4 linked regions of the Struthio camelus genome follow. The protein of the gene in region 4 purifies or fractionates together with the protein of the main gene of each other region. This does not show direct contact. Links are inferred from orthologs where the notes say so. Each region holds a gene or a part of one and is shown on either strand. Other genes may lie near its edges. The genes, in order: ZC3H18, XAB2, SNRPB2 and SF3A1.

What was found.
Region 1: the proteins of SF3A1 (region 4) and ZC3H18 purify together in Homo sapiens (affinity purification with mass spectrometry; 3 studies listed by BioGRID and IntAct, with this or other methods). This does not show direct contact. The link is inferred for Struthio camelus from reciprocal best matches to the Homo sapiens genes SF3A1 and ZC3H18.
Region 2: the proteins of SF3A1 (region 4) and XAB2 fractionate together in Homo sapiens (co-fractionation; 3 studies listed by BioGRID and IntAct, with this or other methods). This does not show direct contact. The link is inferred for Struthio camelus from reciprocal best matches to the Homo sapiens genes SF3A1 and XAB2.
Region 3: the proteins of SF3A1 (region 4) and SNRPB2 purify together in Homo sapiens (affinity purification with mass spectrometry; 5 studies listed by BioGRID and IntAct, with this or other methods). This does not show direct contact. The link is inferred for Struthio camelus from reciprocal best matches to the Homo sapiens genes SF3A1 and SNRPB2.

Annotation. Positions count from the first base shown.
Region 1 is NC_090951.1:2,518,327-2,525,404, reverse strand, and holds the start of ZC3H18 (zinc finger CCCH domain-containing protein 18), read left to right. Parts: upstream 1-4,062; 5' UTR 4,063-4,251; intron 4,252-4,928; 5' UTR 4,929-4,986; intron 4,987-5,039; exon of another isoform or gene 5,040-6,919; intron 6,920-7,078. Other genes in the region: lipid transferase CIDEC, read right to left, coding at 1-115, 198-339, 500-572, 1,082-1,355.
Region 2 is NC_090972.1:3,512,501-3,519,795, forward strand, and holds the start of XAB2 (pre-mRNA-splicing factor SYF1), read left to right. Parts: upstream 1-4,287; 5' UTR 4,288-4,321; coding exon 4,322-4,381; intron 4,382-7,295. Other genes in the region: protein PET100 homolog, mitochondrial, read right to left, coding at 1,532-1,618, 4,057-4,083. UniProt on the Homo sapiens protein: Involved in pre-mRNA splicing as component of the spliceosome. Involved in transcription-coupled repair (TCR), transcription and pre-mRNA splicing.
Region 3 is NC_090944.1:134,156,873-134,164,466, reverse strand, and holds the start of SNRPB2 (U2 small nuclear ribonucleoprotein B''), read left to right. Parts: upstream 1-4,587; 5' UTR 4,588-5,151; intron 5,152-5,525; 5' UTR 5,526-5,549; coding exon 5,550-5,613; intron 5,614-7,576; coding exon 7,577-7,594. UniProt on the Homo sapiens protein: Involved in pre-mRNA splicing as component of the spliceosome. Associated with sn-RNP U2, where it contributes to the binding of stem loop IV of U2 snRNA.
Region 4 is NC_090958.1:4,786,989-4,794,987, forward strand, and holds the start of SF3A1 (splicing factor 3A subunit 1), read left to right. Parts: upstream 1-4,999; 5' UTR 5,000-5,199; coding exon 5,200-5,265; intron 5,266-7,713; coding exon 7,714-7,826; intron 7,827-7,999. Other genes in the region: CCDC157 (coiled-coil domain-containing protein 157), read right to left, coding at 127-204, 853-1,546, 2,296-2,470, 3,388-3,635. UniProt on the Homo sapiens protein: Component of the 17S U2 SnRNP complex of the spliceosome, a large ribonucleoprotein complex that removes introns from transcribed pre-mRNAs.

The sequences.
Region 1 (7,078 bases), on a different chromosome or scaffold from region 4:
CCATGAGCACCGTGCCCTCCTCCAGCGTCCGGAAGAAAGCCTCCGTCTCCACGGCCGTGCCATCCTCATCCAGGACCAGCGAGACAGGCTCCGGCGCGAGCAGGGTGCTCTGAACCTGCAAGGGGTGATGGTGATGGGAAGGGGGAGCCAGGCCAGACGGAGAGCCCCGCCAGATGGGCGGAGGGCCCCCAGCTCACCTGGAGCAGCAGCTCAGCGAGGCTCCGTGCCATGATGCCCTTGCGCAAGCTGCGGTCCCAGTTGCAGACGCGGTAGGGCCGGGGCCGCGGCGCCGGGCTCCACAGCAGCTGCTGGGTCATGGAGGCACTTGCGGAGACGCATCTGGGGTGGGACGGAGGGATCAGAAGGGCTCTGGAGACCACCAACCCCAGGCAGTGCCATCCCCCCAAGCCCTCCCTGGAGACCAGGGCATCCAATCCAGGGGCCAAGAGGTGCTAAAGCAGAAAGGGCTCCAGTGTCCCCCCCCAGGGCTGGCACTTACTTGGAGATGGGGTCAGTTAGGCGCGAACTCAGGGACTTGGCATAATCCATCTCAGCAAGGAGCACGGTCGAGCCTGCCAGGAGGCAAGGATTCAGCCCTGGGCAGCAGCATCCTCCAGCCCCTCACCACCTTCAGGGAGGCCCCCTCCCACCAGCCCTGAACCCCCAGCACCTGCCCACACGCAGCTCCAGCAGGGTGGTGAACCAGCACCCCAGCACGGCTGCCTTTACGCAGGGGCTGCGCCTGCCCTTTGGCCGGGGCCAGGCTGGAGGCGGCAGCCGTGGCAGCCTCTGCCCGCCAGGCTCTTGCGCAAAGCGGCACGCGGGCCCCTGAGTCAGCGCTGGAGCAAAGGTGAGACGCAGACACGGGGCAGCACCTTTGCCTGGGCCCCTTCAGGGGAGCAACAGGGTCAGAGGTGTCCACAGCACCTCCAATCCCAGTCCCACCCTCGCAGCTCCAGGCTCCCCTCCAGCAGCCTCATTGCTCCTGAGCATCCCCATCCCCATCCCCATCCCCATCCCCATCCCCATCCCCATCCCCATCCCCATCCCCATCCCCATCCCCATCCCCATCCCCACTCACCTCCAGCAGACACCACACCCCCTGCACTAGCTGTTCCCACCCACCCCACTTGCCCTATATACCTGCCACCCACTGGCTCCACCCCCCTCAGGCCCCGCCCCTGCTGCCTGAGCCAATCCCCAGCTGGCACAGGGGGCGGAGCCAGAACAGGGGGGCAGGGCCAGCACAGGGGGCAGAGCCAGCCTGACACTCCCGCCCCACTGCATGGGGCAACGAGTGAGCACCCTCCTGGGCTGCCCTGGGTGAGCATCCTCCTGGTCCCCTGAGCAAGCATCCTCCCAGCCCGCCCCAGGCGAGCGCCCTCCAGCCCGCCCCAGGCGGGCATCCTCCCTCCCAGCCCACCCCGAGCGAGCGCCCTCCAGCCCGCCCCAGGCGAGCGCCCTCCAGCCCGCCCCAGGCGGGCATCCTCCCTCCCAGCCCGCCCCAGGCGGGCATCCTCCCTCCCAGCCCGCCCCAGGCGGGCATCCTCCCTCCCAGCCCGCCCCAGGCGGGCATCCTCCCTCCCAGCCCGCCCCGAGCGAGCGCCCTCCAGCCCGCCCCAGGCGAGCATCCTCCCTCCCAGCCCGCCCCGAGCGAGCGCCCTCCAGCCCGCCCCAGGCGAGCATCCTCCCTCCCAGCCCGCCCCGAGCGAGCGCCCTCCAGCCCGCCCCAGGCGGGCATCCTCCCTCCCAGCCCGCCCCAGGCGAGCGCCCTCCAGCCCGCCCCAGGCGAGCATCCTCCCTCCCAGCCCGCCCCAGGCGAGCATCCTCCCTCCCAGCCCGCCCCAGGCGAGCGCCCTCCAGCCCGCCCCAGGCGAGCATCCTCCCTCCCAGCCCGCCCCAGGCGAGCGCCCTCCAGCCCGCCCCAGGCGAGCATCCTCCCTCCCAGCCCGCCCCGAGCGAGCGCCCTCCAGCCCGCCCCAGGCGGGCATCCTCCCTCCCAGCCCGCCCCAGGCGAGCGCCCTCCAGCCCGCCCCAGGCGAGCATCCTCCCTCCCAGCCCGCCCCAGGCGAGCGCCCTCCAGCCCGCCCCAGGCGGGCATCCTCCCTCCCAGCCCGCCCCAAGCGAGCGCCCTCCAGCCTGCCCCAGGCGAGCGCCCTCCAGCCTGCCCCAGGCGGGCATCCTCCCTCCCAGCCCGCCCCGAGCGAGCGCCCTCCAGCCTGCCCCAGGCGAGCGCCCTCCAGCCCGCCCCAGGCGGGCATCCTCCCTCCCAGCCCGCCCCGAGCGAGCGCCCTCCAGCCCGCCCCAGGCGGGCATCCTCCCTCCCAGCCCGCCCCGAGCGAGCGCCCTCCAGCCCGCCCCAGGCGAGCGCCCTCCAGCCCGCCCCAGGCGAGCATCCTCCCTCCCAGCCCACCCCGAGCGAGCGCCCTCCAGCCCGCCCCAGGTGGGCATCCTCCCTCCCAGCCCGCCCCAGGCGAGCATCCTCCAGCCCGCCCCAGGCGAGCATCCTCCCTCCCAGCCCGCCCCAGGCGAGCATCCTCCAGCCCGCCCTGTCTGAGCACCCTCCCAGTGCCCAAGTGAGCACCCTCCAGCCCACCCCGAGCAAGCACCCTGGAAGCGCCCCAGGGAGAGGGAGCATCCTCTGGGCTGCCCCAGCAAGCACCCCAGCAGCCCACGCTGAGCGAGCACCCTGCGCTGCCGGCTCCACGGAGCCTGGCTTCCCAGCACGCTCGCCCCAGGGGATTCTCCGCTGGCTGCTAGTGCGGTTGGGCTGCCGCGGGCCCCACGGCCCTGGCTCAGCCCCTGCTTGCATGAGGCAAGAGCATCCGGGACGGCTGCCCTGCGCCGTCCGAGGCCACGCCGGGTCTGCGAGCCAGGAGAGCGGGCAGCAGACAGCTGGCTCCCTTGGGAAGGGCCGACGGGCTCGGCGCGGCGGGGTTGCAAAAGCGCAGCCCGAGCCTGAGGCGGCCGGAGGCGAAGGCGAGCGGCCCGGCCACAGTCCGTGGCCCGGTGGAGACGCTGGCCCCAGGAGCGCGTGCCCGGCCCCCAGCCCCGAACCGCCGTCCCTGCTGCTCTGGAGCACCCCCGAGGCGCCGAGCTGCTCCCAGCAAGCCCGGCACGGTGCTGCGTCCTGGCGCTCTGCCGCCGGCGCGCTGGGCAGGTTCCCTGCGGGCTGCCGCCCTCCGGGGCGTTGCCGGCCCCGGCGCGGGCAGCAGCCCCTGCGGAGGGCTCGGTGCAGAGGGCCTGGCCGCTGCCCGGCTGGGGGGACTGCCCGCTCCGTCCTCGGGGGGCCGGGCCCGGCCGCAGCGCCACGGGGAGGTGCTCCCAGGGCCAGGCGGGCTGCGCCGCTGCCGGGAGCCGTCGCCTGCACGTGTGCCGGCATGCTTCTGCGTGCACGTCCATACGTCCTCCACGTGCACGTGTGCACCTGTAGGTCCAGGTGCGCACCACCACCTGCATGTATGCTCCCAAGAACACCTATACGCCCAGCTCCGGGCGTGCACGCGTTTAGGTCTGCCTTAGCGTGCGCGCGCACACGTCTGCGTGCACGCAGGGGTCTGACTGCACGTTCACAGGCGCGCCTAGCTCGGCGAGCGCACCTGCACGGCTGCGCGCCCGCGGACACGCGTGTCGAGCCCCCGCCTTCGCGCACGCGTGCGCCCCTCCCGGCGTGTGCATGCAGGTGCTCGCTCCGCTTGCATGCCTCCCACCCCCCCCGCCTGCCTGCGGGAACCCCCCCGCCTGGGTGTTCGTGCACCCCCCCCTCCCCACCTGCACCCGTCTGCACCCGCCACGTGCGCACGCGTGCATGTGGACTCCTCCACGCGTGTGCGTGCAGGCGAGCCCCCCACTACCCCGGGCGCGCGCGCCTGCACGTGCACCTGCCCGCACACGCGCGTGTCCCCCCCCCCCCGACCACCACCCCGCCGCCAGCGCCCCACCCACGCGGGGCCGCCGAAGCGCGCGTCCCCTTTAAGGCGCGGGCGGGGCGGTGGCGGCGCGCGTGCGCGTGCGCGCGTGCGCGCGAGCAGGACGAGCGCGCCCGCCCCCCCCCTCCCCGGCGCGAAGGCCGTCGCGCCCGGATGACGTCACGCCATGGCCGCCCTGCGCCGCCGCGAGTAGAGGCCCCGGCCCGTCCCGCGCCCCGCGCCGGAGCCGCTTCCCCGCCGCCGCCCGCCGCCGTCCTTCTCGCCCCGGCTCCCGGCTCCGGCCTCGGCTCCGGCTCCGGCCCGCCCCGCTCCGCCCGCCCAGGTGAGCCGCTGCCCGCCTGGCCGCGCTCCGCGGGCGCCGGCCGCGGCCTAGCGCCCGCGAGGGGGGGCGGGCCCGGGCGCCGGGGAAGCGGGGGAGGGGCGGCCCCGGGCGGGGGGCGCTGGGAAGGGGGGGGGGCCGTGTATTTGGGGAGGGGGTCCTGGGATGGGGGGTCAGCCCCGATGGGGATGGTGTTTGGGGGGAGGGGTCAGCCCAGTGGGAGGGGGTCCTGGGATGGGGGGTCAGCCCAGGTGGGGGTGGTGTTGGGGGGGGCAGCCCAGTGGGAGGGGGCCCTGGGATGGGGGGAGCTTAGGGAAGGGGGGGGCAGCCCAGGTGGGGGGCCCTGGGAAGGATCTAGCCTAAGTGGGGGTGATGTTGGGGGGGGGGTCAGCTCAGCTGTGTGGTGGTGAGGAAGGGTTGGGGGGCAGCCCTGGTGGGGGGTGCTGAGAGGGAGGGGCAGCAATGGCTGGAGGTGGGGTGATGGGGGACAGCCCTAGTTGGGGGGGGACTGCTAGGATGGGGGGCACCCCCCAGATGGGAAGGCTGGGGGGCACAGCCTGTAGTTTGCGGGAGGATTTGGGTGGGGGGGGTGTTGAGGGGGAAGAGTCCTAGTTTGGCGGGGGGGGGAGTGTGCAGCCTGGCCACCAGGTACAGGAAGGGCTGACTGTCTCCCTTCGCAGGCAGGTGGGAGCAGGGAGAGCTCCAGAAAGACCTCAGCCTGGCAGGAGGCCCTGTGAGGTAAGGGAGGCCCCAGGGGAGCTGGGGGCAAGGGGGTGGAGAAGGACTGGGGCGCTGCAGCGGCCACGCATTCGGGTGCTTTCTCTGATGGGTCAGGAGCGTCCTCGCTGACTGCCACGGGATGGGGAAGTCGCGCTGCCCAGTCCTCTGGGTCGACAGGGTGGTCTGTGTGCTGCGCACCCGTGCAATGCCTGTTGGTCTCGCCTGTGCAGCGAAACAGCAGCTGTAAGGCTCTCTCTGCTCAGAGCTCTGGTCACTTTTGTAAGTGTTCCAAAATGTGGCTGCTGCGGGTGGTTTAAATTCTATGAGTTTCTTCAACAGAGCTCTCTCTTCTTCAGAGCTGTTCTTTTTGGGATGTGCACTAACAATTTTTTATTTTATTGCCATCAGTAATTCAGCTTTTCTGACACGGCCATTAACAGCGCTGTTTTGGCCGTAGCAAGAGCAGCATCTGCAAGGTGTGATTCTTTCTCCTGATCTTCTTAAGGTTTGTCTAGGTTAAGGAAAAAGGTCAAGGTCTCTTCCTAATCAAGTCAATTCCTTGCAAGCCATCTCATCCAATGTTCTGAGTGGAATGAGACTCCAGAGCGTGATTATTTATGAATCCTACAGAATGCAGGAACAATTGCACTTATTTTTTCTCATGGGAATGAGGCTCCTGTAATTCAAAGTTAATGTTCAGTGTGGAGCTGCAGAAAGAGTGATGCATGTCCTAGTAACAGGAGAATCCATTACACTGTGAAAACAAACTTCAGCTATTTACAGCTTCATTTTTGTTCATGTTCAGGTATCAGTCTTAAAGCCTGCCTGACACAAAGCAGTTGACTAGCACTAGTATGGTGTTTGGTGTTAAAATTCTGGATCAGACCTCTGTAAGCTCTTCTTAAAAAAAAAAAAAAAAAAAAAAGCTGAAAATGGCTGTCACCAAGTAGTTCTCTCAAATTAGTACTGAGAGGCAGCTTAGTTTTCTGCATTAAAAGGTTTTCTGACAGCTGCTAGAAAATTGAAGTTTGTTATGCATCTTCAAAGTCGGTGCTCCTCTAAGGATGTCAGATAGGTATGTATTCTATTTTAATTAATCCTGTTAACAATCAGAGTTTCATTCAGAACAAAGACCTGGGTGCTCTGCTTTTGTTCTACGCATCCTTTCGGCTTTACATGATGTTCCTTTTCTAGATTGTGATGCATCTTATTTCCTTCTCTTCCTGTTGTTGCTGCTCTTCCACGTTTTCCCCATTGTGATTCCCTCCATTCATTTCTGGTTTGCTTCTGTTTTCCACTTCTGTCCCACAAATGTTTTTGTGCTCTGTTTCTTTTTTAGCTTGTCCTGTCAGCCCTATTTCTCATTCTTTCCCCTCAAACCCGCCCATCATTCTTCATCCATCTTTGTGGCTTGACTTAGGCCATGCTCTAGAACTTCCTTCTCTTCTGCATAAGCCCCTGCCATTTATGCATCTCATTAACTGTAAATGTTTTGATCTTGCATTGAACCATGTTTGGCTACTAGAAATGAGGAAAAAACACTTTCTGCTGCCCCAAAGACTATTGAGAGAGAGAGGCCTCCCTTCTACCTTACCAGCAGCTTCAGAAGGTGCTGCTATTTTCTTGCTTCTTTCCTGGCATCTATCTGGAGGTGTCTGTCCCACAGCCCCCATGGAGCTTTGAGTTCTCTGCTTGGTGGGGCGGGGGGGGTATGGCACTCAGCTATGGACTTTTTTCTTGCCATCTGACTGGCAATTTGTAGGATTTCAAGGTTGGAGCTGACAGCTCTGTCAAGCTCCAGCTTTATGTCGAGTACTCGGTGCTTTCCTGAGGTGCTGGGCTTGTCCGCGACGTTAGTTTCCACGCTGCTACATCCAAGGTGCATCCTTTGTTCGTTTGGAAGAAGCTTTTTTCGGCACCATAGAGGCTGAACCTTGGAGGGAGGAATTTTGTGAGTGGAAATAATGCTTGCCAAGAATATTTTTCTTAGTGGCTGTGTACTTCAAATCCTATCTTAACTGACAGCTTTACTCTATAGATGGTGTGATGCGTTAGAGTAAGCTGCCTGCTTGAGGTTAGCAAGCTAGTCTTTTCAGTAGTAGTTCCAGTT
Region 2 (7,295 bases), on a different chromosome or scaffold from region 4:
TCCGGGGACCCTCCCTGGCGGCAGGGGCCCAGGCGTCCGGGCACCCCGGGGACCCTCCCTCGCAGTGGGGACCCAGGCGTCCGGGGACCTTCCCCGGCGGCAGGGGCCCAGGCGTCCGGGCACCCCGGGGACCCTCCCCCGCAGCAGGGGCCCAGGTGTTCGGGGACCTTCCCCGGCGGCAGGGGCCCAGGCGTCCGGGCACCCCGGGGACCCTCCCCCGCAGCAGGGGCCCAGGTGTTCGGGGACCTTCCCTGGCGGCAGGGACCCAGGCGTCCGGGCACCCCGGGGACCCTCCCCCGCAGCAGGGGCCCAGGTGTCCGGGGACCCTCCCCCGCAGCAGGGACCCAGGCGTCTGGGCACCCCAGGGACCCTCCCTCGCAGTGGGGACCCAGGCGTCTGGGGACCTTCCCCGGCGGCAGGGGCCCAGGCGTCCGGGCACCCCGGGGACCGTCGCCGGCGGCAGGGGCCCAGGCATCCGGGCACCCCGGGGACCCTCCCTCGCAGCAGGGACCCAGGCGTCCGGGCACCCCAGGGACCCTCCCTCGCAGTGGGGACCCAGGCATCCGGGGACCTCCCCCGCAGCGGGGGCCCAGGCGTCCGGGCACCCCGGGGACCCTCCCCCGCAGCAGGGGCCCAGGTGTCCAGGGACCTTCCCTGGCGGCAGGGACCCAGGCGTCCGGGCACCCTGCGGACCCTCCCTTGCAGCAGGGACCCAGGCATCCGGGGACCCTCCCCCGCAGCAGGGGCCCAGGCGTCCGGGCACCCCGGGGACCCTCCCCCGCAGCAGGGGCCCAGGTGTCCAGGGACCTTCCCTGGCGGCAGGGACCCAGGCGTCCGGGCACCCTGCGGACCCTCCCTTGCAGCAGGGACCCAGGCATCCGGGGACCCTCCCCCGCAGCAGGGGCCCAGGCGTCCGGGCACCCCGGGGACCCTCCCTCGCAGCGGGGGCCCAGGCATCCGGGGACCTTCCCCGGCGGCAGGGGCCCAGGCGTCCGGGCACCCCGGGGACCCTCCCTCGCAGCAGGGACCCAGGCGTCCGGGCACCCCAGGGACCCTCCCTCGCAGTGGGGACCCAGGCATCCGGGGACCCTCCCCCGCAGCAGGGGCCCAGGCGTCCGGGCACCCCGGGGACCCTCCCCCGCAGCAGGGGCCCAGGTGTTCGGGGACCTTCCCCTGCGGCAGGGGCCCAGGCGTCCGGGCACCCCGGGGACCCTCCCTCGCAGTGGGGACCCAGGCGTCCGGGGACCTTCCCCGGCGGCAGGGGCCCAGGCATCCGGGCACCCCGGGGACCCTCCCCCACGGCAGGGGCCCAGGCGTCCGGGGACCCACCTCCGCAGCAGGGGCCCAGGCGTCCGGGCACCCCGGGGACCCTCCCTCGCAGCAGGGACCCAGGCATCTGGGGACCCTCCCCTGCGGCAGGGGCCCAGGCGTCCGGGCACCCCGGGGACCCTCCCCCGCAGCAGGGGCCCAGGCGTCCGGGCACCCCGGGGACCGTCGCCGGCGGCGGGGGCCCAGGCGTCCGGGCACCCACCTTCCTGCGCACCACGTGCTCCTCGAAGTAGGCCGCCTGGTTGGACACCCAGAACATGCTGACGGGGAAGGACAGGTAGAGCAGCATCTGGGGACGAGGGGACGTCACCGCAGGGCCGGGGACAGCGCCCGGGCACCCCCTGCCCTCGCGGGGGCGTCCCCAGCGTCCCCCTGCCCGGGCGGGACGTCCCCAGCGTCACCCTGAGCTCGTAGGGTGTCCCCGGTGTCACCCTGCCCGGGCGGGACGTCCCCAGCGTCACCCTGAGCTCGCGCAGCGTCCCCGGTGTCACCCTGCCCGGGCGGGACGTCCCCAGCGTCACCCTGAGCTCGCGCGGCGTCCCCGGTGTCACCCTGCCCGGGCGGGACGTCCCCAGCGTCACCCTGAGCTCGTGCGGCGTCCCCAGTGTCACCCCACCTGGGCAGGATGTCCCCAGCGTCACCCTGAGCTTGTAGAGTGTCCCCGGTGTCACCCTGCCCTCGCGGGACGTCCCCAGTGTCACCCTGAGCTTGTAGGGTGTCCCCAGTGTCACCCTGCCCGGGCGGGACGTCCCCAGCGTCACCCTGAGCTCGTGGGGCATCCCCAGTGTCACCCCACCTGGGCAGGATGTCCCCAGTGTCACCCTGAGCTTGCGGGGCGTCCCCGGTGTCCCCCTGCCCGGGCGGGACGTCCCCAGCGTCACCCTGAGCTCGCACGGCGTCCCCAGTGTCACCCTGAGCTTGTAGGGTGTCTCCAGTGTCACCCTGCCTGGGTGGGACGTCCCCAGCGTCACCCTGAGCTCGCGCAGCGTCCCCAGTGTCACCCTGAGCTTGTAGGGTGTCCCCGGTGTCACCCTGCCTGGGCGGGACGTCCCCAACATCACCCTGAGCTCGCGCGGCGTCCCCAGTGTCACCCCACCTGGGCAGGATGTCCCCAGTGTCACCCTGAGCTTGCGGGATGTCCCCAGTGTCACCCTGTCTAGGGAGGACGTCCCCAGCGCCACTCTGAGCTTGTGGGATGTCCCCAGTGTCACCCTGCCCAGGCAGGACGTCCCCAGTGTCACCCTGCCCTCATGAGGCGTCCCCACTGTCACCCACAGGAGCAGGATGGTCCCCCCCCCCCAGTGCCAGATGTCCCCTGGTGTCACCCTGCCTGGGCAGGACGTGTCCCGGGGTCCCCAGCGTCACCAGCCCGGGCAGGACAGTCCCCCTCTCCCCAGTGTCAGATGTCCCCTGGTGTCACCCTGCCGGGGTGGGGCAGCCCCTTCCCCCCCCCGGTGTCGCTGTCACCGCTGCCAGGGCACAACAGTCTCCCCAGTGTCACCCAGGATGTCCCCAGTGTCACCCGCCAGGGCAGGGGACACCCCCCCACTGCCCCCCTCGGCCTTATCCGCCCCCCTCCCGTCCCTGTCACCCCCCCCATCGTCCCCCTCTGGCCCTGTCACCCCCCCGTCGCCCCCCCATCGTCCCCCCCGGCCCTGTCACCCCCCGTCACCCCCCTCAGCCCTGTCACCTCCCGTTACCCCCCCAGCCCTGTCACCCCCCTCAGCCCTGTCACCCCGTGTCACCCCCCACTGCCCCCCCACGACCCTGTCACCCCCCCCGTCAACCCCTGTCACCCCCTCAGCCCTGTCACCCCCCTGTCACCCCCCACTGCCCCCCCCGGCCCTGTCACCCCCCTCGGCCCTGTCACCCCCTGTCACCCCCCACTGCCCCCCCCACGACCCTGTCACCCCCCCGTCAACCCCCGTCACCCCCCCAGCCCTGTCACCCCCCCGTCACCCCCCCAGCCCTGTCACCCCCCTGTCACCCCCCACTGCCCCCCCGGCCCTGTCACCCCCCTCGGCCCTGTCACCCCCCCGTCACCCCCCCGGCCCTGCCACCCCCCCGTCACCCCCCTCAGCCCTGTCACCTCCCGTTACCCCCCATTGCCCCCCCAGTCCTGTCACCTCCCACTGCCTCCCCCCAGTCCTGTCACCCCCCCTGTCACCCCCCTCGGCCCTGTCACCCCCCACTGCCCCCCCCACGACCCTGTCACCCCCCTGTCACCCCCCACTGCCCCCCCCACGACCCTGTCACCCCCCCGTCACCCTCCCACTGCCCTGTCACCCCCCTCAGCCCTGTCACCCCCCCGTCACCCCCCACTGCCCCCCCCACGACCCTGTCACCCCCCCGTCACCCCCCCACTGCCGCTCCGGCCCTGTCACCCCCCCTCGGCCCTGTCACCCTCCTGTCACCCCCCACTGCCCCCCCACGACCCTGTCACCCCCCGTCAACCCCCGTTACCCCCCCAGCCCTGTCGCCCCCCCGTCACCCCCCCAGCCCTGTCACCCCCCTGTCACCCCCCACTGCCCCCCCACGACCCTGTCACCCCCCGTCACCCCCCCGGCCCTGTCGCCCCCCCGTCACCCCCCCAGCCCTGTCACCCTCCTGTCACCCCCCCAGCCCTGTCACCCCCCTGTCACCCCCCACTGCCCCCCCACGACCCTGTCACCCCCCGTCACCCCCCCGGCCCTGTCGCCCCCCCCCGCCCCCTCCGCCCTCACCCACCCGAAACACCTCCAGCTTCACCCCCATGGCGGCTCCGCTCCCCGCTTCCGGCCCCCGCCCGCCGCAACAAGCCCGCCGCCCATTGGTCGAGCTCCGAGCAGCGGCGCCGCCCATTGGCGGAGGGGGCGGAAGGGGTGGGGAAGGGCGGGGCGAGGGGAAGAAGCGGCGGCGGCGGCGGCAGCCAATGAGCGCGCGGCGCGGCGTGACGTCATCGCGGCGCGCCGGAAGCGGGCGCGGGAGGGACGGGGCGGCGGCGGCGGCGGCGATGCCGGAGCCGGAGGCGCCGCCGGTGGCGGCGGGCGCGGGGCGGGCGGAGCTGCGCTTCGTGAGTGGGGGCGGGAGACCCCGGGGGGGCGGCGGGGGGGTCTCCCACCCCCCTCCCCCTTTTTGGGAGCCGGTGGGGGAGGGGCGCCCCGGGTGGGGGAGGGGCGGGGGTCTCCCACCCCCCGTTTTGGGAGCCTGTGGGGGGAGGGGCGGGGGGTCTCCCACCCCCCTGTTTTGGGAGCTGGTGGGGGGAGGGGCGGGGGTCTCCCTCCCCCCCCTTTTTGGGAGCCTGTGGGGGGAGGGGCGGGGGTCTCCCACCCCCCATTTTGGGAGCCTGTGGGGGGAGGGGCGGGGGTCTCCCTCCCCCCCCTTTTTGGGAGCCTGTGGGGGGAGGGGCGGGGGTCTCCCACCCCCCATTTTGGGAGCCTGTGGGGGGAGGGGCGCCCGGGTGGGGGAGGGGCGGGGTCTCCCTCCCCCCCGTTTTGGGAGCCTGTGGGGGAGGGGCGGGGGTCTCCCACCCCCCATTTTGGGAGCCGGTGGGGGGAGGGGCGCCAGGGTGGGGGAGGGGCGGGGGGTCTCCCTCCTCCCCCCCTGTTTTGGGAGCCTGTGGGGGGAGGGGTGGGGGTCTCCCACACCCCTCCCCCGTTTTGGGAGCCTGTGGGGGGAGGGGCGGGGGGTCTCCCACCCCCCATTTTGGGAGCCGGTGGGGGGAGGGGCGCCAGGGTGGGGGAGGGGCGGGGGTCTCCCTCCTCCCCCCGTTTTGGGAGCCTGTGGGGGAGGGGCGCCCGGGTGGGGGAGGGGCGGGGGTCTCCCACCCCCCGTTTTGGGAGCCTGTGGGGGAGGGGCACCCCGGGTGGGGGAGGGGCGCCAGAGGGGGCTCCCCGGTTTTGGGACGTCCCCCCGTCCCCCTCGGTGTCCCCGCGCCCCCCCGCGTCCCCCCGTCCCCCTCGGTGTCCCCACGCCCCCCGTGTCCCCCTCCCCACATCCCCGTGTCCCCCTTGGTGTCCTCGCGTCCCCTCTCTGTGTCCCCTTGTCCCCCTTCCTGCATCCCCATGTCCCCCCCGGTGTCCCCGCGCCCCCCCCCCCACGTCCCCCCCGTGTCCCCCCCCGCCCCGCCTCCCCCTGTGCCCTCAGTGTCCCCGTGTCCCTTCTCTTTGTCCCTTCCCCGTCCCCCCCGGTGTCCCCACGTCCCCCCCCTCGCCCCGCGCTCCCTCCCGTCGCCGCCCTCGTCCCCCTCGCGTTGCTGTGCCCGCGTCCCCCTCCCACGCCCCCTCTGCACCCCCGCCCCCCCGCGTCCCCTGCTGTCCCCGTCCCCTCGCCTGCCTGTCCTCCCCCCGTCCCCTGTCACGTCCCTTGCTGCGTCCCCGTTGCCCCTCGCGTTCCTCTCCGCCTGTCCCCAGCCCCCTCCCCTCTGTCCCCGTGGCCCAGCCCTGTCTCGTCCCCGCGTCCCCGTCGTCCCCGTCGTCCCCGTCCCTGTGTCACATCTGCGTCCCCGTGTCCCCGTCCCACCTCACGTCTGCGTCCCTGTGGCCCCGTCCCACCTCACGTGTGCATCCCCACGTCCCCGTCCCATCTCACGTCTGCGTCCCCGTGTCCCCGTGCCCCCGTCCACCTCACGTCTGCGTCCCCGTGTCCCCGTGTCCCCGTCCCGTCTCGCGTCTGCGTCCCCGTGTCCCTGTCCCATCTCACGTCCGCGTCCCCACGTCCCCGTGCCCCCGTCCCACCTCGCGTCTGCGTCCCCGTGTCCCCGTGTCCCCGTCCCGTCTCGCGTCTGCGTCCCTGTGTCCCCGTGCCCCTGTCCCACCTCACGTCTGCGTCCCCGTGTCCCCGTGCCCCCGTCCCATCTCGCGTCCGCGTCCCCGTGTCCCCGTGCCCCCGTCCCACCTCACGTCTGCGTCCCCGTGTCCCCGTGTCCCCGTCCCGTCTCGCGTCTGCGTCCCCGTGTCCCCGTGCCCCCGTCCCATCTCACGTCTGCGTCCCCGTCCCCACGTCCCTGTCCCATCTCACGTCTGCGTCCCCGTGTCCCCGTGTCCCTGTCCCATCTCATGTCTGCGTCCCCGTGTCCCCGTGCCCCCGTCCCATCTCGCGTCCGCGTCCCCGTGTCCCCGTGCCCCCGTCCACCTCACGTCTGCGTCCCCGTGTCCCCGTGTCCCCGTCCCATCTCATGTCTGCGTCCCCGTGTCCCCGTGCCCCCGTCCCATCTCGCGTCCGCGTCCCCGTGTCCCTGTGCCCCCGTCCACCTCACGTCTGCGTCCCCGTCCCCACGTCCCTGTCCCATCTCACGTCTGCGTCCCCGTGTCCCCGTGTCCCTGTCCCATCTCATGTCTGCGTCCCCGTGTCCCCGTGCCCCCGTCCCATCTCGCGTCCGCGTCCCCGTGTCCCTGTGCCCCCGTCCACCTCACGTCTGCGTCCCCGTCCCCACGTCCCTGTCCCATCTCACGTCTGCGTCCCCGTGTCCCCGTGTCCCTGTCCCATCTCATGTCTGCGTCCCCGTGTCCCCGTGCCCCCGTCCCATCTCGCGTCCGCGTCCCCGTGTCCCTGTGCCCCCGTCCACCTCACGTCTGCGTCCCCGTCCCCACGTCCCTGTCCCATCTCACGTCTGCGTCCCCGTGTCCCCGTGTCCCCGTCCCACCTCACGTCTGCGTCCCCGTGTCCCCGTCCCATCTCACGTCTGCGTCCCCATGTCCCCGTGTCCCCGTCCCGTCTCACGTCTGCGTCCCCGTGCCCCCGTCCCACCTCACGTCTGCGTCCCTGTGGCCCCGTCCCACCTCACGTCTGCGTCCCTGTGGCCCCGTCCCACCTCACGTCTGCGTCCCTGTGGCCCCGTCCCACCTCACGTCTGCGTCCCCGTGCCCCCGTCCCACCTCACATCTGCGTCCCCGTGTCCCCGTCCCACCTCACGTCTGCGTCCCTGTGGCCCCGTCCCACCTCACGTCTGCGTCCCCACGTCCCTGTCCCATCTCACGTCTGCGTCC
Region 3 (7,594 bases), on a different chromosome or scaffold from region 4:
AAAATCACACTATTCTCTTCCACCAGTAAATAACATCTCAACCAAGAACTTATTTTTTGCTTTTACATTCAACTCACTTTAATCCACGCTGTTCTTTATAAGTTTCCTAAATACAAGTTTCCTGTTCACCAATGCACGCAGCATGGGGAATAAGCAGGAAGAATTAGAGTTGTGTGTGTGGTCGCAGGGCCATGATCTCGTTGCAGTTACAGAGACACGGTGGGATAGCTCACATGACTGGAATGCTGTCATGGACAGCTATGTGCTTTTTAGGAAGGACAGGCCAGGAAGGCGAGGTGGTGGAGTTGCTCTTTATGTGAGGGAGCAACCAGAATGTATGGAGCTCTGCCTAGGGGTAGATAAAGAACAGGCTGAGAGCTTATGGGTAAGGATTAAAGGGCAGGCTAACATGGGTGACACGCTGGTGGGGGTTTACTACAGGCTACTTGAACAGGAAGAGGAAGTTAATGAGGCCTTCTACAGACAACTGGAAGTAGCCTCACGATCACAGGCCCTGGTTCTCATGGGAGACTTCAACCACCCCAACATCTGTTGGGAAGACAGCACAGCTCGGCACAAACAGTCAAAGAGGTTCCTGCAGAGGATCAATGATAATTTCTTGACCCAGGTAGTGGAGACGCCAACAAGGACAGGTGCAACGCTAGACCTTGTACTAACAAACAAAGAAGGTCTAGTTGGAGATGTGAAGGTTGGGGGCAGCCTTGGCTGCAGTGACCATGAGATGGTGGAGTTCAGGATCCTACGAGGAGGAAGCAGGGCAATAAGTAGGACTGCAACCCTGGACTTCAGGAGAGCTAACTTTGGCCTCTCCAGGGACCTACTTAGGGGAATCTCATGGGATAGGGCCCTAGGAGGAAGAGGGGTCCAGGAAAGCTGGTTAATATTCAAGTATCACCTCCTCCAGGCTCAAGATCAGTGCATCCCTCTGAGTAAGGAATCCAGCAAAGTGGGCAGAAGACCTGCATGGATGAGCAAGGAACTCCTGACAAAACTCAGACAGAAGAAGGAAGTCTACAGAATGTGGAAAAGGAGACAGGCTACTCGGGAGGATTACAGGGACAATGTCAGAGTATGCAGGGATGCGTCAAGGAAGGCTAAGGCCCATTTGGAATCAAATCTACCAAGGGATGTCAAGGACAACAAGAAGGGCTTCTTCAAATCCATCAGTAGCAAAAGGAAGACCATGGGAAACGTGGGCCCACTACTGAATGTGGTGGGTGCCCTGATGACGAAGAATACAGAGAAGGCAGAGTTGCTGAACACCCTTCTTTGCTTCAGCCTTCACTGCTAAGGCCAGCCCTCAGGAATCCCAGACCTTGGAGACCAGGGAGAGAGTCTGGAGAAAGGAAGACTCTCCCTTGGTCGAGGAGGATCAGGTTAGAGATCACGTAGGCAAACCTGACATCCATAAATCCATGGGCCCTGATGGGATGCACCCACGAGCGCTGAGGGACATCATTGCTAGGCCACTCTCCATCCTCTTTGAAAGGTCCTGGCAATCAGGAGAGGTGCCGGAGGACTGGAGGAAAGCCAGCGTCACTCCAGTCTTCCAAAAGGGCAAGAAACAGGACCCAGGGAACTACAGGCCTGTCAGCCTCACCTCCGTCCCTGGAAAGGTGATGGAACAGCTCATCCTGGAGGCCATCTCTAAGCACGTGGACAAGAAGGTGATCAGGAATAGTCAGCATGGCTTCACCCAAGGGAAATCTTGCTTCTGTGATGGGATGACTGGCCGGGTAGATGAGAGGATAGCAGTGGATGTTGTCTACCTGGACTTCAGCAAGGCTTTTGACACTGTCTCCCATCACATCTTCATAGATGTAAGCTATGAGGTAAGCTCAGGAAGCACAGGCTAGATGAGTGGATGGTGAGGTGAATTGAGAACTGGCTGGATGGCAGAGCTCAGAGGGTTGTGGTCAGTGGCGCAGAGTCAAGTTGGAGGCCTATAGCTAGTGGTGTTCCCCAGGGGCTTATACTGGGTCCAGTCTTGTTCAATGTATTCATCCATGACCTGGATGAAGGCACAGAGTGCACCCTCAGCAAGTTTGCTGAAGATACTAAACTGGGAGGAGTCACTGACACACCAGAAGGCTGTGCTGCCATTCAGAGGGACCTGGACAGGCTGGAGAGGTGGGCGGAGAGGAACCTCCTGAAGTTCAACAAAGGCAAGTGCAAGGTCCTGCCCCTAGGCAGGAAGAACCCCATGCACCAGTACAGGCTGGGGGGTTGACCTGCTGGAAAGCAGCGCTCTGGAGAAGGACCTGGGAGTGCTGGTGAACAACAAGTTAAGCATGAGCCAGCAGTGTGGCCTTGTGGCCAAGAAGGCCAATGGGATCCTGGGGTGCATTAAGAAGAGTGTTGCCAGCAGGTCGAGGGAGGGGATCCTGCCCCTCTGCTCAGCCCTGGGGAGGCCTCACCTGGAGTACTGTGTCCAGTTCTGGGCTCCCCAGTACAAGAGAGACATGGCACTCCTGGAGAGAGTCCAGCGGAGGGCTACCAAGATGATGAGGGGACTGCAGCATCTCTCCTGTGAAGAAAGGCTGAGAGAGCTGGGCCTGTTTAGCCTGGAGAAGAGAAGACTGAGAGGTGATCTGATCAATGTGTACAAGTTTCTGAAGGGGGAGCGTCAAAAGGATGAGGCCAGCCTCTTCTCCGTGGTGCTCAGCAACAGGACAAGAGGCAATGGGCAGAAACAACCACAGGAAGTTCCATCTGAACCTGAGGAGAAACTTCTTGACTGTGAGGGTGACAGAGCATTGGAACAGGTTGCCCAGAGAGGTAGTGGAGTCTCCATCCTTGGAGATATTCAAAACCCGCCTGGACACGATCCTGAGAAATATGCTCTAGAGGACCTTGCTTGAGCAGGGGGGTTGGACTAGATGATCTCCAGAGGTCCCTTCCAACCTCCACCATTCTGTGATTCTGTGTGATTCTGTGATAACATATTTTCCTTTTACTGGGGAAAACTCCAGAACGTGGAAGTCATTTTTTTTTCTTAAAATGTGACTGAACTGACAACCCTTCCTAATATTCCTGTCTCACTACAAAGGGATAAGTTTCACTGTGGACCTGTCCAAATCAGTTTAAACAAGAACCATCTTAAGGATTATATTTTCCCCCAAGAGCTTCTTTTTCACATGCGACCAGGTTAAATCTTCACAACATAAAATTGCTTCTGAAAAAGTCTGTAAGATCATTCATAAAAGTAAAGGCATTCTGCCTGCAAAATTATTCCAAAAATTCAAAGGTTGCAACCTCAGAATCTCTGCTCTGTTTATTTATCCTGAGGTACTGTTACTGCAGGGATTGTAAAAGTATCTTCAAGAAATTAGATACATTGCCTTTTCAATCTCCAAACTGAAAACAAATGTCAGTTAATGAATATTTGTCTGCAGGTGTTTTCAAATTTCTGCTTTTCTTTACTCTCCATGAGTTCATATGTTGACAAAAGAAGCAAAAATCATAGTTAAGTTTGCTCAGTACTCTACTTGAACGCATCAGAGCTAAGAATTGGGGAAACAAATAGTGAAATACATGTACTAAACCCCTAATTTAATCAGTTTTAAGAGTCGCTGTGATTTCAGTGAAGCCAAACCTACTACTCCCTCTTTCACCCTGGGACTGATTCAAAGCAAGAAGATGGAGTTCACAGAGGTGTTTCTGTGGGCTTCAGTGGACCTCACACCAGGCAGGTTCTCTCTTAGGTGCGTGCCTGGCTGGATGCCCCGGAGCAGCGTGGCTCCTCAGCTCTGCGCAGTCGCTCTGCAGGCAAGGCCAAGCCGGGGCTCCCTGTGCAAGGGCAGGCTGTGCGGGCGCAACCGCAGCAGCCAGAGCCAGGCCGTCACCCGCGCCAGCTACCTTCTCGGGGCTCGCTGAGGGGGGAAGCAGGGCCGCTGCTGAGTGTGCTTTGCCGACTTGCAGTTTGCCTTATCCTGCTGTTTCACCTGCACTATAGGAACCGGTTCTAGAGATTTCCATCCCACCTCCCCAAATATGAAAAGAAGATAGAAAAAAATCTGTAAAATATTCTCTCTTCTCCATCTGAGGTATACAAATTATCTTACTAAGGTTAACTGTGACTTGGATGCAGCACACATAAAGAGCAGGGAAGAGAGTTTGGATTATTTTCACACAAGCTTTTAATTGTGTTGTAATGAGGAAGACAGAGGGGCTGCAGTAAGACACGAAGAACTAACTGCGAGTGACGGTTTTCAGAAAGAAATTTGAGTTCTAAACTAATAATGTGGTGTCATTGACTCACAAGAAAAAATGCATTACGGCTTTTATACCAATTTCTATTGTATGTAGTTTGATAACTGGCAATAACGCTTTTGTTTAATAATTGCTAAATGATATGTAAAAAATAATTGCACTGTGCATACATTTTTTATTATCTCTACCGAGAAGGTGGAAACAGCCACAGAACAAACGATTCACACGCAGTCAGCTAATCTTTGTTATTTAAACCAAGCTATTTGTCTAACGGTTTTACGATGCATTTTCCCTTTTATCTCATTGCCTTTGGAAAACTAGCACAGCAACAACGATGGAAACGTTTGAGGAACCAGATAAGCATAGTATGAGAAAAACAAACACTATTTTCTCCTCCGGGAACCACTGGAGCGACAGGCATTACTCTCCTCCCTTCGCTTTGCAGGGATGTAGGGTGCTTTCTTTCTTAAATACTGCCTACAGGCCACGTCCTCATCAAGGAGCCTGACGACTGAATTTTGCAGTGCTGCCAGGCTCTTGTTCGAGCGCGATGGAAAGCACTGCTGCTCAGGTCGGCTTCAGGGTCAACACAGCTCCGAGCAACGAGCTCAGCTCTGAGCTGAGAGGGGGAAAAAAACCCTCTCTCAGCTAGACTCCCAGGTACTTCGTGCCAGGAGGGCCTGTTTCCACACAGAGCGCAGGCGGCGCGAACAAGGAGGCGGCACTTGGAGCCACACAGGACGGCAACGCGCCCAACCGCCGCCCAACCTGCCACTGCGCACGCGTCAGCCGCGGGCGGGGCGACATCGACCCGCCGGCGCTCGGCACATCGATTGCGGCGGGATCGGCTCGTCAGCTTGCGCTGCGTGAAGAGGCGGCCGGCGCAGCGCGGTGCGGCCTCCATCTCGGCGGGGAGAGGTGAGCCAGGGCGGCGGCGGCGGCCTGCCTGGCCCCGGGGTCCCGGCCCCGCTCCCGGGAGAGGCATTGGGGTCCCCGTCGTGTTCTGGGCCGCTCCGGGGGGCCCGGCCGTGGGGCCGCGGCCGCTGGCGCGCGGGGGGCGGGGGGGGTAACGTGCTCGGGCCGGGGCGTCGCGGCGCTGCGGTAGGTGCGGGAGCGCTGTTAAACGGCCGGGGAGAGGGGCGGGCGGTGGGGCCCGGCGCGCTGCCGCTGCGCTTTCCGCGCTAGTTAACCAGCTCCTGGGTTGTGGGGCGTCCGCGGGGCTGGCGGCGCCTCCTTTGCCGGGGCGAGCCTTCATCCGTTATAACGTTGCGATGCGTGTGCTCTGTTTGCAGGCAGGTGTGTAAGCGAGTTGGAGGATGGATATCCGGCCAAACCATACGATTTACATCAACAATATAAATGACAAGATTAAAAAAGAAGGTATGAATGTCTGTGACTCTTATGTTTAGTAGAAAGCCGTCGCATATAAAATTCTCATATATAAAAGGTCAAGCTTATACTGGCCTGCAGTTTTTACTGCTCTGGAGCCTAAGCTCAAAAGCTTATGTTTTGGTAGCATCTCACCCTCAAAGATCCTCTAAGCTGTCTAGTAATGTACTGCAAGTGGTGATCATGAACCAAGTTCTCAGCTGTCAAATCTTTTTCATGAAGAAGTAGGTAAAGTTAGCCAGCCTTGGACCATGCGCAAGTTTTTCCACAAGCTGGAGTTCTTATTTATTTTTAAGGAAGCTTCTGATTGCTTGTATACTGTAGTTGTACAGCTAATCTTACAGATTAAGCTTGTTTATCCTTAAATAAGTGTAATCATAGTAGTCATCTAATATTCTGATAGGTTACTCCTAACAGGCATGTTTGTGTATGTTCAGGTGGTCCCATTCACTGAAAGTGGAAATATCTGTATGCTTGTTTTTCAATTTAATGCCTTAGAAAATCACTGAAAGTGGCATAAGCTAACTTGTTTCCCTTCATTGTACTGGAGACTTGATGTATGTATGCGGTTACTGAGGTCCTCTTTAGAGAGTGATAATTTCTTGTTGAGGGTTTTTAGCTCCTCACGATGTGCTAATAAGATCACTTGTTCTTATCTGGTTGTGTACTCAATGTCTGTGTGGGACCATCTGGCTCTCCTTTTCAATGTTTATGCATAATTCTTAATCTAAAAGGGATAAAGATAATTTAATACTGTTTGTGAACAGTGGGTTGCTGGATCAGACACTAGCCTTGCTTAAACATTTCTTTTGGGTATTTCAGAGAGTGATCTGAAAGTAGGAATAACTTTGCCAGTACACTATCGATTTGTCAAGATTGTTCCACTCAGTAAATTAAACTTAGTGGTTCTCTTATAGCATGTTATGTACTATGAACTAATAAGTGCCTGGTTATTTTTAAAATGTAGAATTGCAAGTTGCCAATAATATCAGGCTTACAAACCAGATTTCTAGTACGTCTTTTGAAGTTATTTTTCTTAATGTTTGATATGAAAACTTTTATTTTTCCCTTATTCACATCTGAAGCTTCTTCTGCATTCATTGCTTTGTAAGGCAACTTCCTTCACAAGTTCCCTTGATTGGTTTCCTGTTGATTCTGATCTTATACAGAGCTGTAGCTGATCAAGAACAGTTGGGAAAAGTGACAGTGGGCTGGTACTAATGAGTCTTAACAGCAATAAACAAAAGTCAGCAGAAATACTTCAAATAAAAGAATTGAATAACATAAGAAATATTAAGTTTGAATGCACTACAGAGGATTTGGGATTTATTTATGTTAACTGGATAAGATTAAGGTTTAACTTGATGTGGAGTCAGATGATTTTTTTTATCATGAAAATAAATCTGTAGCAACTGTAAGGGATAGTGTGATTATGTGAAAACATATTCCAATCTAGAATATGAAAAAAATATTTCAATATGCTTGAAAGAATGAAATTTTGTTTGCAACAGTCTGATTTCAAACTTTAACTTGCCTTATGTTTATTTTGATTAATTACTAATTTACAGTATTTTCTTTACGTCGTACTACTTTACTGCCATGTGTTATGGCATTGTATACTACTCAGTATTTGATGGCTGTAATGCATAATACTTCATGTGTACATTAATCCTTGCATAATTTATACTCCCTTAGAATGGTAAAATGGATGGAGGTACGACTTTTTTGCTAGTTGAATACTTGTAAGTTGGCATATAACACTTGGTTTTGCATTATGAAAACTGAGCAAATGAACTTGGGCTCATGCAACAACTTTGGCTAAACTAATGTAACAGATTACTACTTCAGCTAAAAGTAGCAAAAAGTACTGTCCCTAGAGAACAACAAACTTCATAAAACTGAGCATTTGCATATAACCTATGATAATAAATGTGTTTTTCCATACCCTCAACAGAGCTGAAGAGGTCCTTGT
Region 4 (7,999 bases):
CTACCAACACTAAGCACGAGCAATTCCAGGAAAGCCAGGAGTTACATATGTGTAAAACAAGTGTGAGATCAGAGCAAGATCTCTGGATGAGATCTGCCAGCTGGATGAAGCCTCAGGGATCCTTACCCAGCTCCTGCAGAGTAGCTTGCTTAGCAGCCAGCTCTTCCTTTAAGGTAGAGATTCGCTCTTCCAGCAGAGCAGCTCCTAAACCAATGAGAAAACTCAGCTAAACTTTTCACAGCTCTTCAATGAAACTAAAACAAGCAGGTAGCAAATGACTACGCCAAAGCATTCCTCATCCAGTAACAGTATCATGCTGTGCTTCAGCAGAGAGAAGTCAATGAAAGGACACGGACAACCCATTCCACTGTCTGAGGACAGTGTCTCACAGCAGGGACCAGGCCCGAGATGCTATATAGTGACAGGGCATGGAGAGTTTGCAGAGAGGTGGAAATGAGAGAGTGAGGAGTGGGGACGGAGGGCTTCAGCAAAGGAAGGTGGGAGATGATCAGGACATCAGGAAAAGCAGTGGTTCCAGTGCACCAACCCTTATCTGCTTCAGGGAGGAGCTCCTAAGAGTTGCTGTCAAGGGATAGATGAAGAGGAAACTTCCAAGCTAAAGGAAAGTCCACAGTAAGGCTTCTCTCTGGGTCTCTCAGCCACAGGACCATGGAGAAAACACCTGAAAGCTGAGGAGTGATGAACAGGCATTTGCTGATGACACTTGGGCCTATCAAAATCCATGGCAAAAGCTCTGCTCATTGCAGGGGGACCAAGACTTGATCATGGGCTCTGTGGCTCTCCTGCAAATCCCCACAATCCCAGGAGGGGATGCTGGAAACAACACTGTACCTCTCCGTAGGTCCTCCTTATCCTGCTCCAGTTTGACTACAGTCTCCAAATACTCTTTCTTCTTTACTTCCAGGGTCTGCTCAGCCTCCTTCCTCTGCTGTTCTTGGGTTTTCTTCTCTTCCTGAAGCAATTTGGCAAATTCCTCAACCTGCTTCTGCAGCTCATCCTTCTGTTTCTCTGATTCTTCCAGCTTTGACTTCAGAGGGTTTATCAGCTGCAGCAGCATGTGGAGATGTTTGCTGATCCGGGAGAGGTCCTTGCTTTGTTCTGAGGCCCAGTAACTCATGTCCATTGCAGAGAGGGTCCTTCTACCCATGGTCTCCTCCAATGTCTCGTGGAATCTGCTCAGAGCCGAGGGGATGTTCTGACTCTGGCAGATGCCGGTGATGGCTTTGCTGACCTCCCGGAGGCTGGCTTGTGCACTAGCACATGAGTCACAGGGTACCAGAGATGACTCAGTTGTCTGTGTGGGGATGCTGCGGCTGCATGTAGACCTGGGAAGCGAGTTGCCAGAGGTGTCACAGTCTGGCACGCTGACACTCTGCAGCAGGCACAAAGAGGTTGACTGGGCAATATCTATGGATGAGGTTAACTCCGAAACAGCAGGTGAACAGCTCTTCAAATGCTCCTTCTCAGTTTTCACACCCTCAGGGGTAGATTTCAGTGTGGAGATGTCTTTTGTGCAAGTCATCTTCTGGGGGAGAGAGCACAGAAGAAAAACATAGGGCCCAGATTGAACAGTGCAACCAAGACAGCTGCAAATGATCCAGATCAGCCTGAATGCAAAGGTGTTAAATGTGGGAATGGGACATCAGTGAGAGCGCAGCCAAATGGCTACGAGGGCAGTGAGGCCTTCTCTTGGAAGGAGAGAAGTTCCAGGAGCTTGGGGGAAGAACAACGTTACCAAGCAGTTGGGGGTTCCTATTTATTGTGCTCCATATCTTAAATATCTTACATATCCATATATTACAACCAAGACAAATGGCTAATGAACAAAAGATCAATTTGTTCACGCAGATCCTGGGTACTCCCTGAGGGAGGAAGCCAGGGAACTGAATTTTAAAAGCTGCTGGGTAGCTTTTCAGCCACTGATACCTTAGCCAGGTGGAGGCTGTGGTTTCACAGTGGAAGGCGTCTGCCATGAAATTTGCTTCCCAGCTCCTGCGCTGGTTACTGTCCCTTCCTTCACGCCTCCGTGCACTGTCTCAAGGTTAAGCCAGAAGACCTGTTATGAGACCATGCCACCTGCCAGGGCAGGGCTCCCTCCTGCTCTGTCACCCCTGCACCACCACACATCAGGTGGCATCCCAGAGGACTGTGACCTTAGCACGATGCTGCATGCAGGCCTGAGGCAGCTTCTGAACCAGGGGGGATTGAGGCAAGGGGTATTTCTGTGAGCCTTGCTCTCGGCTCATGGCAATTGAGGGCCCCCATATGTCCCACCTCAGTCAGGAGCTGCTTGTAGAGGGCTCCCAGTTTCAGCATGCTGTTCCAGTACTTCCGCACCGTCAGCCCCGCCGACATGCAGGGCCCCACTGCCTGCGCTGGGGGGATGGCTTTGTCGCTGAGCAGGTTTTCTGCATAGCCTGTGAAGCTCTGAAGCAGCAGGAGCAGCCTTCTTCGACAGAAACGAAACACAGCTTAGCGCAACAGAGTATTTGGAACAGGGAGAGGGCCCTTGGCATTTAACAGTGCAGGGCCAGGGCTGAGGCAGAGGTTCTCCTCCCTCCCCATTCCCTGCACAGTCTGAGTTGGTCCAAGGAGGCTGGATATCAGCCCCCACGCAGCTCCCCTCCTCTGTCCTGAATCGCTCAATGGAGCAACGTTTGGTGGGATTAAAATCCTCAGGCAGCCGCAAAGATGCAGACCGTGCACTCTGCTTGCAGGGGGTTACTCAAGGGGGACGTACTCTTGGTGCAGTCAGCCAATTCCAGGAGATTTGGGGCACTAAGGCTGCCAACATCAAGGCCAAATATCCAGAAGCAGCTCTGCATGAGCAGCTTGTCTTTAAAATTGAGTATTATTTTACTTAACCCAGGTCGCAAAGGGCACTTTTGCCTCCCAGGCTCTCCCAGGTAGAGCTGCGATTGGGTTCGAGCGTTCCCAGGGTTTTGGGGGGCTATTTAATGAGAGGGGCACCAAGCCAGGGACCACACAACAACCATTGCTTAATAACTTTCTAAAAGGTTAAAGGCCTTTGAGAGTCCCAACTGATCCACAGACCCCAATGTTGATCATAATGATGGCATCAGGGCCCAGAGTGCCTTCCCGGTAGCTCTGATCCCACCCGGGCAAGGGAAAGGACTTGGGTTTTAACACTCAGCGCAGGTGGGCTGGGCTCTGGAGCACAAATCCCACCCTTCCAACTGCAGGTGTGCCAGCACCTGTCTCCAAGCAGAAATGCAGCTACGTGGACACGTTTGACAGGTTGGATGCAGAAATGTTGCCTTCCTTCCAAAGGGAAGGAGCCACTGGACCAACCAGCCTTCTTTTAAAAGGAGTAGGGGATGGTTTGGGCTCGTTTTCTCTTCTCACCTGTCGATTACCAGCTCCAGCAGCACCACGTGGGAATGCTGGGTGAACTCGAGGTCGTTCTCCACGTAGTCGTAGTGCTCCAGCAGCTCCACCAGGTCCAGCTCGCAGGATACTTTATCGGGGAACTTCCAGGAAGGGTAGCGAACAGCCCCAGCCCGGGAGAAGACGTCGGCGATGGCTCCTTGCAGGTCCGTGATGTCAGCCCTCAGGCTGTCCATGCAGGTGGGGCTGCCCAGGAGGTGCGCCATGCCGGGGTGGCAGGATGAGGCTCCGCAGCTCCAGCCTGACTCAGCCCACGGGCCGCCCCGCCGCTGTGCTGCGTCCGATGAGCTCCTGGTCCGATGGGGAAAGGCTGCGGAGGCCGGCCGGCTGCCGGGCTGCAGGCGGGAGCTCTGCGGGACCGAGGCTGAGCTGAGGCCAGCCCAGGGTAGGGACACACATGTGGCACCAGGTCAGATCCTACGTGCCAGGTCAGACCCTAGGCGGCAGGATGGACCTGTGCACTGGAATGGACCCCATGCACCAGGATGGACCCCACGCGCCGCGATGGAGCCTGTGCGCTGGGACAGACCCCACACACTGGGACAGACCCTGCACGCCAGGATGGACCCCCTGCACTGGGATGGACCCTGTGCGCCAGGATGGAACCTGTGCGCCGGGATGGACCCCACACACTGGGATGGACCTCATGCACCAGGACGGACCCTGTGCGCCAGGATGGACCCCATGCACCGGGATGGACCTCATGCATTGGGATGGACCTCACGCAGCGGGATGGAGCCCGTGCACCAGGACGGACCCTGTGCGTCAGGACGGACCCCACGCACTGGGATGGACCTCATGCACCAGGATGGACCCTGTACGCCAGGACGGACCCCACGCACCAGGACGGACCCCACGCACCGGGACGGACCCCACACACTGGGATGGACCTCATGTACCAGGACGGACCCTGTGTGCCAGGACGGACCCCACGCACCGGGATGGACCCCACGCACCGGGACTGATCATACGTGCCAGGATGGAGCCTATGGGCCGGGACGGACCGTGTGTGCCAGAACGGACTCCGCGCGCTGTGCGCCGCCGGGCCGTGGGGGTCTGTGCCGGCAGGGCCACGCGGTGGGGCCTTGGCGGCGCGCCGGGGGGAGCCAGCGGCGGGTCCCGGGGAGGACGGCAGTCTGCGGGAGGGCCCCGGGGGCGCGGGGGTCCCCGGGGGGATGTGCCGAGGCGGCGCGGAGGTGCCCGTGGGGGGGACACGCACCCACCTGCCGCCGCGCCGCGCCGCTCCGACCCCGACCCCAGTCCCGGCCCCGGCCCCGCGGCGCGACCCGCTGCCACGGCAACCGCGCCAGGCCACGCCCCGCGGTGAGCCCGCTGCCACGGCAACCGCGCCAGGCCACGCCCCGCGGTGAGCCCGCTGCCACGGCAACCGTGCCAGGCCACGCCCCGCGGCGCGCCCGCCGCCACGGCAACCGCGCCAGGCCACGCCCCCGAGGCACGGCCCACTGCCCCCGGCCCCCGCAATGGAACGCTCCTCCCCCTCTTGTGGCCCGTTAATGGCACTGTCCCCGGCGCATGCGCCCTGCTCCTTCGTCGGCCCCCGCCCCCGGGCGACCCGTACTCCTCGAGCCGCGCGTGCGCCCGCGCTTCGCCTTCGCGCGCAGCGTGCGTCACACCCGGCGCGCGTGCGCAGCTCGGAGGGGCCGGCCGCCATTTCGGCCGTGGTGGTGAGGGTGCTGCGGGGTTCCGGGCAGCGGCGGACGAGGAGCGGCTCCGGCGGGGAAGCGGCCCCCGTCGCCCCGAGGGATCACCATGCCGGCCGGGCCCGTGCAAGCGATGCCTCCGGCGCAGCCAGCGCCGCCCGCGGAGGGCAAGCCGGTACGGGCCGCGCGGGAGCGGGGCGGCCCGGCCCGCTGCGCCCGGAGGGGCCGCAGGCCGCGCCCGGAGCCCCTGGAGTCCGTCGGCAGCTGAGGCGGAGGGGCGCTCCGGCTCTCCTGGCGTTGAGCTGGGGGTGCGGGGGCTCGCTCTGCTTTTTATGGGTGTATATTTTGGATGCAGAGGCAGCGTTTTGTTCAGTGCTTCCTGTTGCGTTTTAGCGATCCGGGCTCGTTGGGTTTATTTTGGCCGGTGGCTTCTGGGTTTAACCCATTTCTCTTGGTTTTGGGGCGGCTACATTTCCATCCTGTTATTTTTTGCTGCGCCCATAGGACTCACCCGCGGTTCCCTATACGTCTGCGCTAGCTGGGTGGGGCAAATAGTTCACTTCCGGGTAAGTACGGATCCTTTCGTGGAAGCTGCAGAGGATTGTGATTGTGATGGAGGTGAATGTTTGCTGTTAACTGTGGAAGCAGCCCTGCCCTTGGGAGGGATGTGCAAAAGCTTGGAAAAGACTCAAGAAACCTGTCCTAGAGGGACTTAGGGGACTCAGTCTCTCATGTTCTTCTAGGGCCTTCACATATTCTTGCTTGTTCTGTCTCGGTCATGTTCACCTCCTCAGGAGCCTTTTTTGGCCTTCTGTAAAAGCCAAAATCATATGTTGGTGACATATGGTTCTAGCGTAGCTTTAGCTGCCATCCTGGTTGTGCGTTCTTGGTGTTCCCCACGCTAGCGTTAGCATTAGTGCAGCCATGCAGTAAGATAGGGTAAGGAGCTGATCTAACTGAAAATCTGTCTCCTGCTCCTGGTAAGGTTAATTTGAACGAGTATGTTGAACTGGCCTGTTTTATGGCCGTTAAAGCTGTAGGGTTAGTGCACAGGGTAGAAGTGCAGCAGCCTGGACTGATGTTGGCTAAGGCTACAATGCAGCTGCTCCTGGAATATCGCTGCTTAGGTGATTTGGTGTAGCAAGTGCAGTTAGGAGGAAAGCTGTAGCTCCCGATAAATACCCTGTCACTTTCATAGATGTAAATTAACAAGGTGACTCAGCATGGTATTCAAATAAAAATGTCCCTCAAGCGTGGTATTGCCTTCTCCTTCTGGTCCTCTGATGTTCTGGTTCTCAGGGAATGGGAGTGAAAAGTAGAAAGGTTTATGATGCCTTTTTCCTTACAGAATACTTTGTTAAAGTTGTATTTTGCACGAATCCGTCTTCTGACTTGGAATCACCAACTTCTGACACAGAATCAGCAAAACTAGTAGCAGCATAGCGGTGTTTTAAAACTCCCCTGACCCTCACTTTTAAGATTACAAACACTTCTCATGTATCTCCTGTCTTTTATAATGGTGTTTTTTGTGAAAATTACTTGCTAAGACAAGAGGGGAGATATCTTTCCTATCCTGCAAAGAACAGCTTCTTATCTTACTGAAAGATAAAACTATTCTTGGGAAGAGTTCTGTGATTTTTAGTTTAGAGCCTACTGTAATATCTGTGAGGAAAATACCTTGCTGAGTTTAGCCTCTATGAAAAGAAGCTTCTGATGCAACCTCAATATGATTAAGATCTATGGGATTTTTTTTTAATCTAGATGTAATCATTCAGGTTCTAGCTTTTTGTAGTTCCACAAGCTGCTGGGAGTGTTCATAACTTCCAAACCTATTTAGCAATGCTAAATTATTCCCGCATGTGTTCTTACAGGCGGTCTCTTCCACTGCCTCTTGCCACAGTGTTTATAACCTACTCAGGGTCAAGGCTGAAATACTAAAAATGCTGGAAAGACTTATTTATGGTTCCCATGGAGCGGCCTTCCTTTTTATTGCCTTGCTATGTCAGCCTCTGCAGTAAATGCCCTTGACAAGCAGACAAATATTATCTTCTCACCCTGGGAAGCCAGGAATGGGCTGTTGATTGAGATTGTTAAACCAGTTAGAGCAGAAAGGATAAGACTTTTGCATCAGAATAGTAAAATGATTTGGGGGCTGGGGTACAGAATAGACAGTTCTGTCAAGCGTTTGGGTTGCTGGTTAGAATACTTGGTTCTGATACAGCGTTCATTAAGCCTTTTGTAAAGGTATGCTAGGATTGTTATTTCCAATACAGATAAGGAAGCAGAGAGAGAAGGGAAATTCATTTTTCGAGCTAACCGATTCAGGATAAACCCAGTCTCAGTTTGCAGCCTGTCAGAACGTGCTTTCACACCCTGATGCTGGTGGATAGCCTGTTGTTCAAATATTATTTGAATTTCTTTATCTTATCAGCTTTGATTTAGGTTATTACAGCTTAGTATCTTGACATACTGATTGCAAACTCTGCAATGAAAGATCTCTTCCTGTACTATCCTATAACCATCTTATGAATGATGAAGTGGCTGACAGGACTGTTTTAGTTACAAGGCAGCAGTACAGAGGACTGTAGGAAATTATATATATCTATCTATATCTTTCTTGCAGCCAGAAGAGGAGCCAAAAGAGGAAGCAGCACCAGCCAAGCCTGTGGTAGGAATTATTTACCCTCCTCCAGAGGTCAGGAATATTGTTGACAAGACTGCCAGCTTCGTAGCCAGGTAAATGATGCTAGTGTTGTGTCCCGTGTTTTCAGGGTTTTCCATGCCTCTCTACCTCCAGTGCTCCTGTCTCTGTGGATCTAGAAACTGGAGCAGTCGCTATCCTATGACTTGACATGAAGGGAAAGAGAATTGCAGGTAAAAAGGGAGCTTACTTACCAGTGCTCCATTTT